Rattus norvegicus: one gene and its partner. The main gene of each other region encodes a partner of the protein of the gene in region 2 in a complex. Links are inferred from orthologs where the notes say so. Each region holds a gene or a part of one and is shown on either strand. Other genes may lie near its edges. The genes, in order: Phf8 and Topbp1.

Region 1 (3,820 bases), on a different chromosome or scaffold from region 2:
CTTAGGAGCTGTACAAATCTATTTAGTGCCTGAGAGATATCTGCGTGTTTGTCTTTCCCTCCCTTCCCTATTCCTCTGTGTCTGTATTTCCCTCCCTATTTCTCCTCTCCCTTCTTTCTTTTCTTTCTTTCTTTCATTGTATATGTATGTGTGTATGCACATATACGTATCCTTGCTACAGGGTGGTTTGCTTCTAAAATTTGGACTTCTGGCCTCACTGCTTACAGCATGTTTCACTATCTACACTGTAGTCTACAGTGTTTACATCCTACCCCATTTTCCTCCATTTCACCCACTAATACCTTTTAGGAGTCAAATGACTATTTGATTTCAAGTTCTTAAATAACCCAGTTTTATACAAACAGAACTTTGGGCTGGAGAGAAGAAAACTCATGAGATAGAACATGACTTGTTCATTGACTTTCAAACATTTTAAAGCAATGGAATACTTTATTTTCAAATAACATTTTATATGAAAAAGTTTATATAACAAATCAAAGTATAGCTGCTTTGAATTGGATGAAGGACAGAGACCTAAAGCTCCCCTTGTTCCTCTCATCTGCCTTCCACATACCATCCATCTCCAAGATTTCTCCCATGAAGCTCAAAGAAACCACAGAACATCTTTTTTTCTTGACTTTTGATTTTACAGCTGACCAAACAAGTTCTAGAGCGTGTTCCACTAGAAAACTTTCCCTAGGTCAGAGAGATAGCTGGTAGCAAAATTAAGACTAGAAACTTTCTTCAAAAGTTCTACAGTCCAGAGTTTCAACCACACAGATAAGTACTTGATTATTTTTTATTTTGTGTTAGCTAATCTTGGAGACTTTTCCCTCCAGTTTTGACAGTAATGATTTTCTTTGCTCGTCTTCTCTTTACTTGTCAACCACTGGGTAAAGAAATGCCACCCAATAAATGTATGATGGCTCACTGTACAGAAACCAGGGGTGTGCATATGTGGAACACGTATATACGCCACTTCTATGGCAATACCATTAATGCTGGGAACAGACCTCTGCTCTTAGCATAGAGAGACTTGAGTAAGCTCTAACCCCCTCGTGTACTAATACTCTTGTAGGACATCTTCCAACAGAACGTTGGGAAGACGAGCAATATCTTTGGGCTGCAGAGGATCTTCCCAGCTGGTTCCATCCCCTTAACCAGGCCAGCCCATTCCACTTCAGTATCCATGTCCAAGCTGTCACTGCCCTCCAAAAATGGTTCAAAGAAGAAAGGCCTGAAGCCCAAGGATATCTTCAAGAAGGCAGAACGAAAGGGCAAGCAGAGTTCAGCCTTGGGGCCTGCTGGCCAGTTGAGCTATAATCTCATGGACCCATACAGTCATCAGGCACTGAAGACAGGCCCTTCCCAGAAAGCAAAGGTGGGTGCTGACCCATGGGTTCAGCCCAACCCTTTTGGGTCCCTTGGAAGAGCAGTATTAAAAAAAAAAAAAAACAGGCTATCCTGTTCCATCTCTTAGGGCCCCTGGTGTTTGGCTACCAGTTCCACTCATTTAATAGACATTTATTGAGACATTTTCTGTGTTGGGCACTGTGATAGGTGCTGTGAATGGAACTCAAGAGGCTGAGAGGCTAGAAAGGAAGATAGGCATAAAAACAAATGAGTGATATGAAGTGCAGATGCCAACCCATGATCAAGGGTATATGTGGGGTTTTGAGGCACAGAAAGTGGTTGATGCTATCTAGATAGGGCTCAGGAGCTCTTTGCCAGGTACATGACACTTGAATTGAATCTTGATATACTGAGGTGGGAATGAGATTTGAGAATGTTTTCTGTCAGGTTAGAATCTTGAACAAACAAGTCCTTGTCTCCTCTCTCAGGCTTCACCTTGTCTGAGTATTGTGTTGGCCTATCTGGGTATCTAATAATGGTGCCCTCTTCCCTATTTAGGGAACATGTTTCATGAGCTATGATTTCCCTGAGCCAGGCATATATTCTCAACCTCCTACTCCTATAATTGTTGGAGGTGGGGGTTGGGTACAGGCATATCATAAGGCCTATGTCAGAGGGTTGACAGTTTAGTAGTAAAACCAAAAGAAACTGGCCATTTTGATTTACCCGAGAGCCTCAGACTGGTGACAACTGAGCCTCCTCCTTCTACAGCTCAACATTGGTGGTGCCTGCTTGAATGACTCAGATGATGACTCAGCAGACATGGACGTTGATGGCAGTGAGAACCCCCTGGCCCTGTTGATGGCTAATGGCAGGTAAGATGGGTAAAAGAAGCACAGAGGTAACTAAGATTACCAGTGACAAAATGATCTGGGGGTTGAAACATAGGTGAGAGAAGGGCAGTATTTAGACTAATATCCAAATGTTAATAGATATTTACTTTGTTTAGAAGTTATGGTGGATAGGGGAGAGGTCTGGAGTCTAACTAGTAATTTTGAAAATGATGTTGTATAGGTTCAAGAATTTTAGCAAGTTATTATGATAGAACTACTAGTAGAAATAATGTTAGTAAATGTACAGGTAAAGACCACAGTGTTTTGAGTTGACAGATGGCTCAGCTATTAAAAGCACTTACTGCTTTCACAGAGAACCCCAGTTTTCAGTGCTCACATACAGTGGTTCAAAGTCAGCCATAACTCTAGTTCCAGGGAATCAGATACCCTCTTCATGGGCACTAGGCTCACGTGTGATGCACATACATACATTCAGACCAAATATTCAATTATTTTATATTGTATATAAAATAAAAATAAACCTTTAACAAAAGAAAATAGGGAATTTTAGTTAAGTTTTATTCACTATTATGTATAGAGGAGTGGGGATCATGGGCAATACCAGAGTGCCACAGAATGGGTGTGATGGTTAGAGGACAACTTTTGGGAATTCATTCTTTCTTTCTGATATGGGTTCCAAGAGGCAAACTCACTTAAGCTTTGCATGCCTAGTGCTTTTATGTCATCTGCTAGTAAAAAATATGCATTTAAAGTATGGTTTTATAATTAAATGCATAGGAATTTCAGTTTACAGATTGTATATTGTATACACTATTGTACGAATGTGTAAGGAGAAATGTTCAGTGCATACTGCGTCATTGTAATGATATGTGCTTGGAATTAGTTTAAATGTTTGCCAACACAGGTTAAGTAAATTATAGCATATCTTTTTTTTTCTTTTTTCTTTTTTTTGGAGCTGGGGACCGAACCCAGGGCCTTGCGCTTGCTAGGCAAGCACTCTACCACTGAGCTAAATCCCCAACCCCTATTATAGCATATCTTTAGAAAGGAGTCCAAGTATTAGAGAATCTAAAAGAACAGAGCAGTTTAGTATCTATTAGCACAGAAAGATGTCATTTTTATCCTATTGACATGGGTGTCTCACTATGTCACTCAGGTTGGTCTTAAATTTCTGACCTCAAGTAATGCTCCAGGCTCTCAAATAGTTGCCACTATAGACATTCCGTGTTTCAAGGTATATTTAAAAGGTTTTTTAAATTCATGCCAGGGATTCAATTTAAGGGTTTGTATATACTAGGCAGTCATTTTGCTATTGAACTACATCCCCAGTCATCCCTCACACTTTTTTTTGAGATAAGGTCTACCTATGTACCTCAGGGTGACATTGAATTCACTTATGTAGGCTATATTCATCTTGAAATCATGATCCTCCTGCCTTTGTACCCTGATTGCTGGGATTGTAGGCATGTTCTACTACTATTTCTGGGTTGATATATTTATAAACGTGTGTGTGTGTGTGTGTGTGTGTGTGTGTGTGTGTGTGTGTGTGTGTGCATGTTTTAATAGCATAATTAATTTTTTTTACTTGTTTGGTTGTTCAAGACAGTGTTTCT
Region 2 (3,820 bases):
TGACTGCCCTAAGCAGATGACTCAGACCGGAAGAAGATGCCTCTCCAGGGCTATTGGAGAAGTCGGTGTCTGGCTTCAAAGCTAGACGGCCAACCCAGTTCTTCTATTAGCGGCAAAATGCACGTGGGACTTCAAGTCAAAACCAACAAGTGGAAAGTGCGTTTGGCTTGTGGTGCAGGTCTTTAATCCAGCACTTGGAAGAAAGAGGACGGTGATCTCTGGGTTTGAAGCCAGCCTGGTCTAGAGTCAGCTCCAGAAGCACTCAGAGAAGCCTTGTCTTTGGAGGGCGTGGCATGGGCATGAGGGGTAAACAAGTGCCTCTCACCTCCTTTGCAGTCGTCCCTTCCATTCCCATTCAGCAGAGCGGACTCTCTGCTGTGTGTGCCCAAAGTCTCTGTTGCATTTTCTTCTACAGACAGGTGATCTGGCTATTCAAAGAGAAAAATGACAACTTCTCAAACAATGGTCACTGCATAAAGACGGCTACATCCAGCTTAGGAGGGGCTCACTGTGCACACCACCGACCTCATCGTCCTTAGATGCAGAAAGTGCCGAGGGTAAGCGGCTGTCACAGAGCCGCCCGTCCTGCACTGTGCTGATGTCCAAGCTCATTTTGGGGTTGTAAGTGTGTGGGTAAAGAGATTCTGGAAGATGCTTATACTCTTGAGCACACTGAAACACAAGTGGATATTTTAGAAAGAGGTTTACAGTGAAAAACTCTAGCATATAAATAACCAATTGGGACCTTGGAAATGACTTAGCCAGTAAATGTACTTGCCCTATTAATTTGGTAACACGAGTTCAACCGCTGAAACCATATTAAACTGTAAAAGGAATAAAATGACCTCTGCACACGCCTACACACACAGTAGATTAAATAAACGTGTAACAAACTGCCGTCACTTCCAAAATGCACTGTGTATTAAAGCATAAACTCTAATCCTGCCTCTGCATTTAGCAAGGTATCAGCCATTCTAGACAGCACCAAGAAAAGCATAGCTAAAGTGTATCAGGATGCTAAGTCAACTGTCCTCAAAAATTATACACTTTTTCATCTTTTGTTTTTATATAATTTGAATTACATCTTTATCTATTTACACTGGGGTGGGAGGCAGGTAGGGTGCTGCAATCATGGACTGTGGAGTTGTGGAGTTGGTTGTCTCCTTCTACTCTGTGGGCCCAGGAACCCAACTCAAGTAGTTGGGCTCAGTGGGGAAAGCCTTTGCCTTCCACGCCTTTTACCTCAGCTACTCTTCAGATAATTTTTCAATGACGAAAAGGAATCAAAGTATTCATTTAAAATTTAGTAAATATTCAAGCAATAAAAATGTTAAGTTCTGGGGATAGAGAGATGGTTAAGAGCACTGACTGCTCTTCCAGAGGTCCTGAGTTCAATTCGCCAGAACCACATGGTGGCTCTCAACCATCTGTAATGGGATCTGATGCCCTCTTCTGGGCACTCGAGTGTATAAGCAGACAGAGTACACATATGCATAAAAATAAATAAGTAATAAATAAATCTTTAAATACAAAAAAAACCTTAAGTTCTGATGCTAAAACAAAACAACGCCCAGAACACAACCTACATATAGCTCAGATTTTGGGAGTCCCAAAGGCCCTTATGTCCACATGGTGTTTGTCCAACAGGGCCCCTCGGGGTGTGCCTGGAAAGCAGTGGAACCCGAACACTTTCTACCACCTCTTTCATTTCCCAGCCATGAAACGGGCAGTTATTGGCGTGCCCTGTCACGCAGTTAGCTAAGATTAGCAAATGTATTTATATTTAATGAAACTGGCTTGTAGTCTGAAACACTGTACATTTTCACCCACCGAAGGAGGGAAGGAAGGAGGGAAGGCACTGCTCACCTCTAACAGCCAATGCTCCGACACGACGTGCACCCCTCTTTCCTTTGCAGATTTATACTCGCGATTACTATCATTTGCCCGACCCTGGTAAATGTAATGAGTAACTGTCTCATCAAAACTCCACCTGAAACAACCAAATATGCAAGAGGAATAACTAAGGGAAGCGACAGCCTACTCCGAACAAAACATTCTCACACAAAACTCAAGGAACTAGAGAACAGGCAAGACTAGTAAATAGCAGGTTCTGTATCCTGACAAATGTTAGCAACTCCATAGTCAGGTACACCATGTAGGAAGATGTCAGAGGGATACTTTTGAAATATTACTACCTTCTTTAAATTTTTAAAAGTCCTTCCATTTTGTCTTAAATGTATATCACTTTTTAATTACAATAAAAAGTATTTAAAAGTTAATAAAACTTAAAGGCATTCAAATCCATGTCCAGTCACTGGCCACCACCCTGTTTATTGACTCTAGTTAGTCCCTACCACACACTGTACCTGTGTTTAGAACTGAGCTCAGGCCTCTGGATATGCTAGGCAAGAATTCTACCAGAGCCTGAGACTACGTCTCTTAGGAAAACACTAGAGACAGGATCTCACTAAGTAACCCTGGCTGTCCTGGCACTATGTAGACCTCACAGAGACTCACCTGCTCCTGCCTCCCAAGCACTGGAATTAGTGGAGTGTACTACCATGCCCTGGCAAGATATGTTTTTTTAAAAATGTAAAGCAAACTAAAATATCTTTAATGACCATTTTAATCTAGGAAGACTTGCTACAGTGGTCAGTACTACTCTCAGGAAATCACTACGGTAGATAATAAATGCAGTCGGTCCCAGATGCACTGACTATAAACTCCATGAAGGAACTTCTTTAAACTATGCTGGTCACTTATGGATCACAAGCTTCCAGAACAGTAGCACAAAACAGCTTCACAAGCGTGTGCTGGTTGTATAAAGCATACGAATGACTGCTTTAATAAAATAAATCGAAGTTTTATTAGACGTGTACACAAGCAAGCAAAGCCAAGTCTTCCTTATAAATGAACATGAGGGGTTGGGGATTTAGCTCAGTGCTAGAGCGCTTGCCTAGCAAGCATAAGGCCCTGGGTTTGGTCCCCAGCTCCGAAAAAAAGAAAAATAAATAAATGAATGAATGAATGAATGAATGAATGAACGAACGAACGAACGAACGAACGAACGAACGAACGAACGAACGAACGAACGAACGAACACGAGACTTTCGGCTCTCTCCGAGCTGCGGCTGGCGGCAAACATAAAGGTGAACCTACCTGTACTCTGCTCCCAGTGAGGCTGCAACCCCATTTAGCTCACTCTGCTTCTTACTGAGCCTTTTACTCACGCACACCACAACTTTGTCAAGCGGTTTCGGAGTCTCTTCCTATACGTGGAGAATAAAGAAAGAGATCAGTCACAGTTCTTTGACATGCATTAGGGACACCTTTCATTTAATAAGAAAATGGTATTAATAACCTTCTCCAAATGGGCACCCTTTAGCTGAGGGCTAGCAGAAAGACAGCCGGTGTTTCGTGAACTATTTGCCAAAGCAGTTGTCAGGTTTCTGACGATGACTTCAGAGAGTGGTGAGCTCAGTTTCCGCTTCTGGCTGGCAGCATTTGGGGTTTCTAAGGCTGCAAGTGCATCCTGGATTTAAGAACAAGGAAAAGGAAAAATAAAGAGAGGAAAAGGGGGACATAGGAGGGAAAGAGAGAGAGTAGGGAGGAAAGGAAAAAAGATTACATCTTTGAACTCTTTATCTCCAAAATAAAAAGCATGAACTATAATTTTTATTTTTATACTATAAAGAAAAAATTCCATATTCTTCACCAAGCATTCAATAAGGGGCTCAAGAGGTGGCTCAGCAGTTCAGAGCACTGGCTGCTCTTCCAGAGGACCAGGGAGTCAATCCCCAGCTCCCTCCCATACGGTGGT

The links.
Region 1: the proteins of Topbp1 (region 2) and Phf8 are in contact, whole or in part, in a crystal structure (PDB 7CMZ), measured with the Homo sapiens proteins. The link is inferred for Rattus norvegicus from reciprocal best matches to the Homo sapiens genes TOPBP1 and PHF8. Residues at the interface, in NP_008958.2 of Homo sapiens: Gln1298, Cys1299, Arg1314, Asn1315, Glu1316, Leu1319, Arg1369, Ser1406, Arg1407, Gly1410, Phe1411, Arg1413, Leu1414, Arg1465, Thr1466, Glu1467, Ala1470, Asp1471, Gln1475, Asn1483, Tyr1484; in NP_001171825.1 of Homo sapiens: Gly842, Ala843, Cys844, Phe845, Asp847, Ala848, Tyr850, Ile851, Tyr852, Pro853, Ser854, Leu855, Glu856.

Annotation. Positions count from the first base shown.
Region 1 is NC_086039.1:24,008,837-24,012,656, forward strand, and holds part of Phf8 (histone lysine demethylase PHF8), read left to right. Parts: intron 1-1,078; coding exon 1,079-1,381; intron 1,382-2,124; coding exon 2,125-2,228; intron 2,229-3,820. UniProt on the Homo sapiens protein: Histone lysine demethylase with selectivity for the di- and monomethyl states that plays a key role cell cycle progression, rDNA transcription and brain development.
Region 2 is NC_086026.1:112,790,692-112,794,511, reverse strand, and holds part of Topbp1 (DNA topoisomerase 2-binding protein 1), read right to left. Parts: intron 3,533-3,820; coding exon 3,362-3,532; intron 3,270-3,361; coding exon 3,160-3,269; intron 1,991-3,159; coding exon 1,867-1,990; intron 673-1,866; coding exon 526-672; intron 429-525; coding exon 326-428; intron 1-325. UniProt on the Homo sapiens protein: Scaffold protein that acts as a key protein-protein adapter in DNA replication and DNA repair. Composed of multiple BRCT domains, which specifically recognize and bind phosphorylated proteins, bringing proteins together into functional combinations.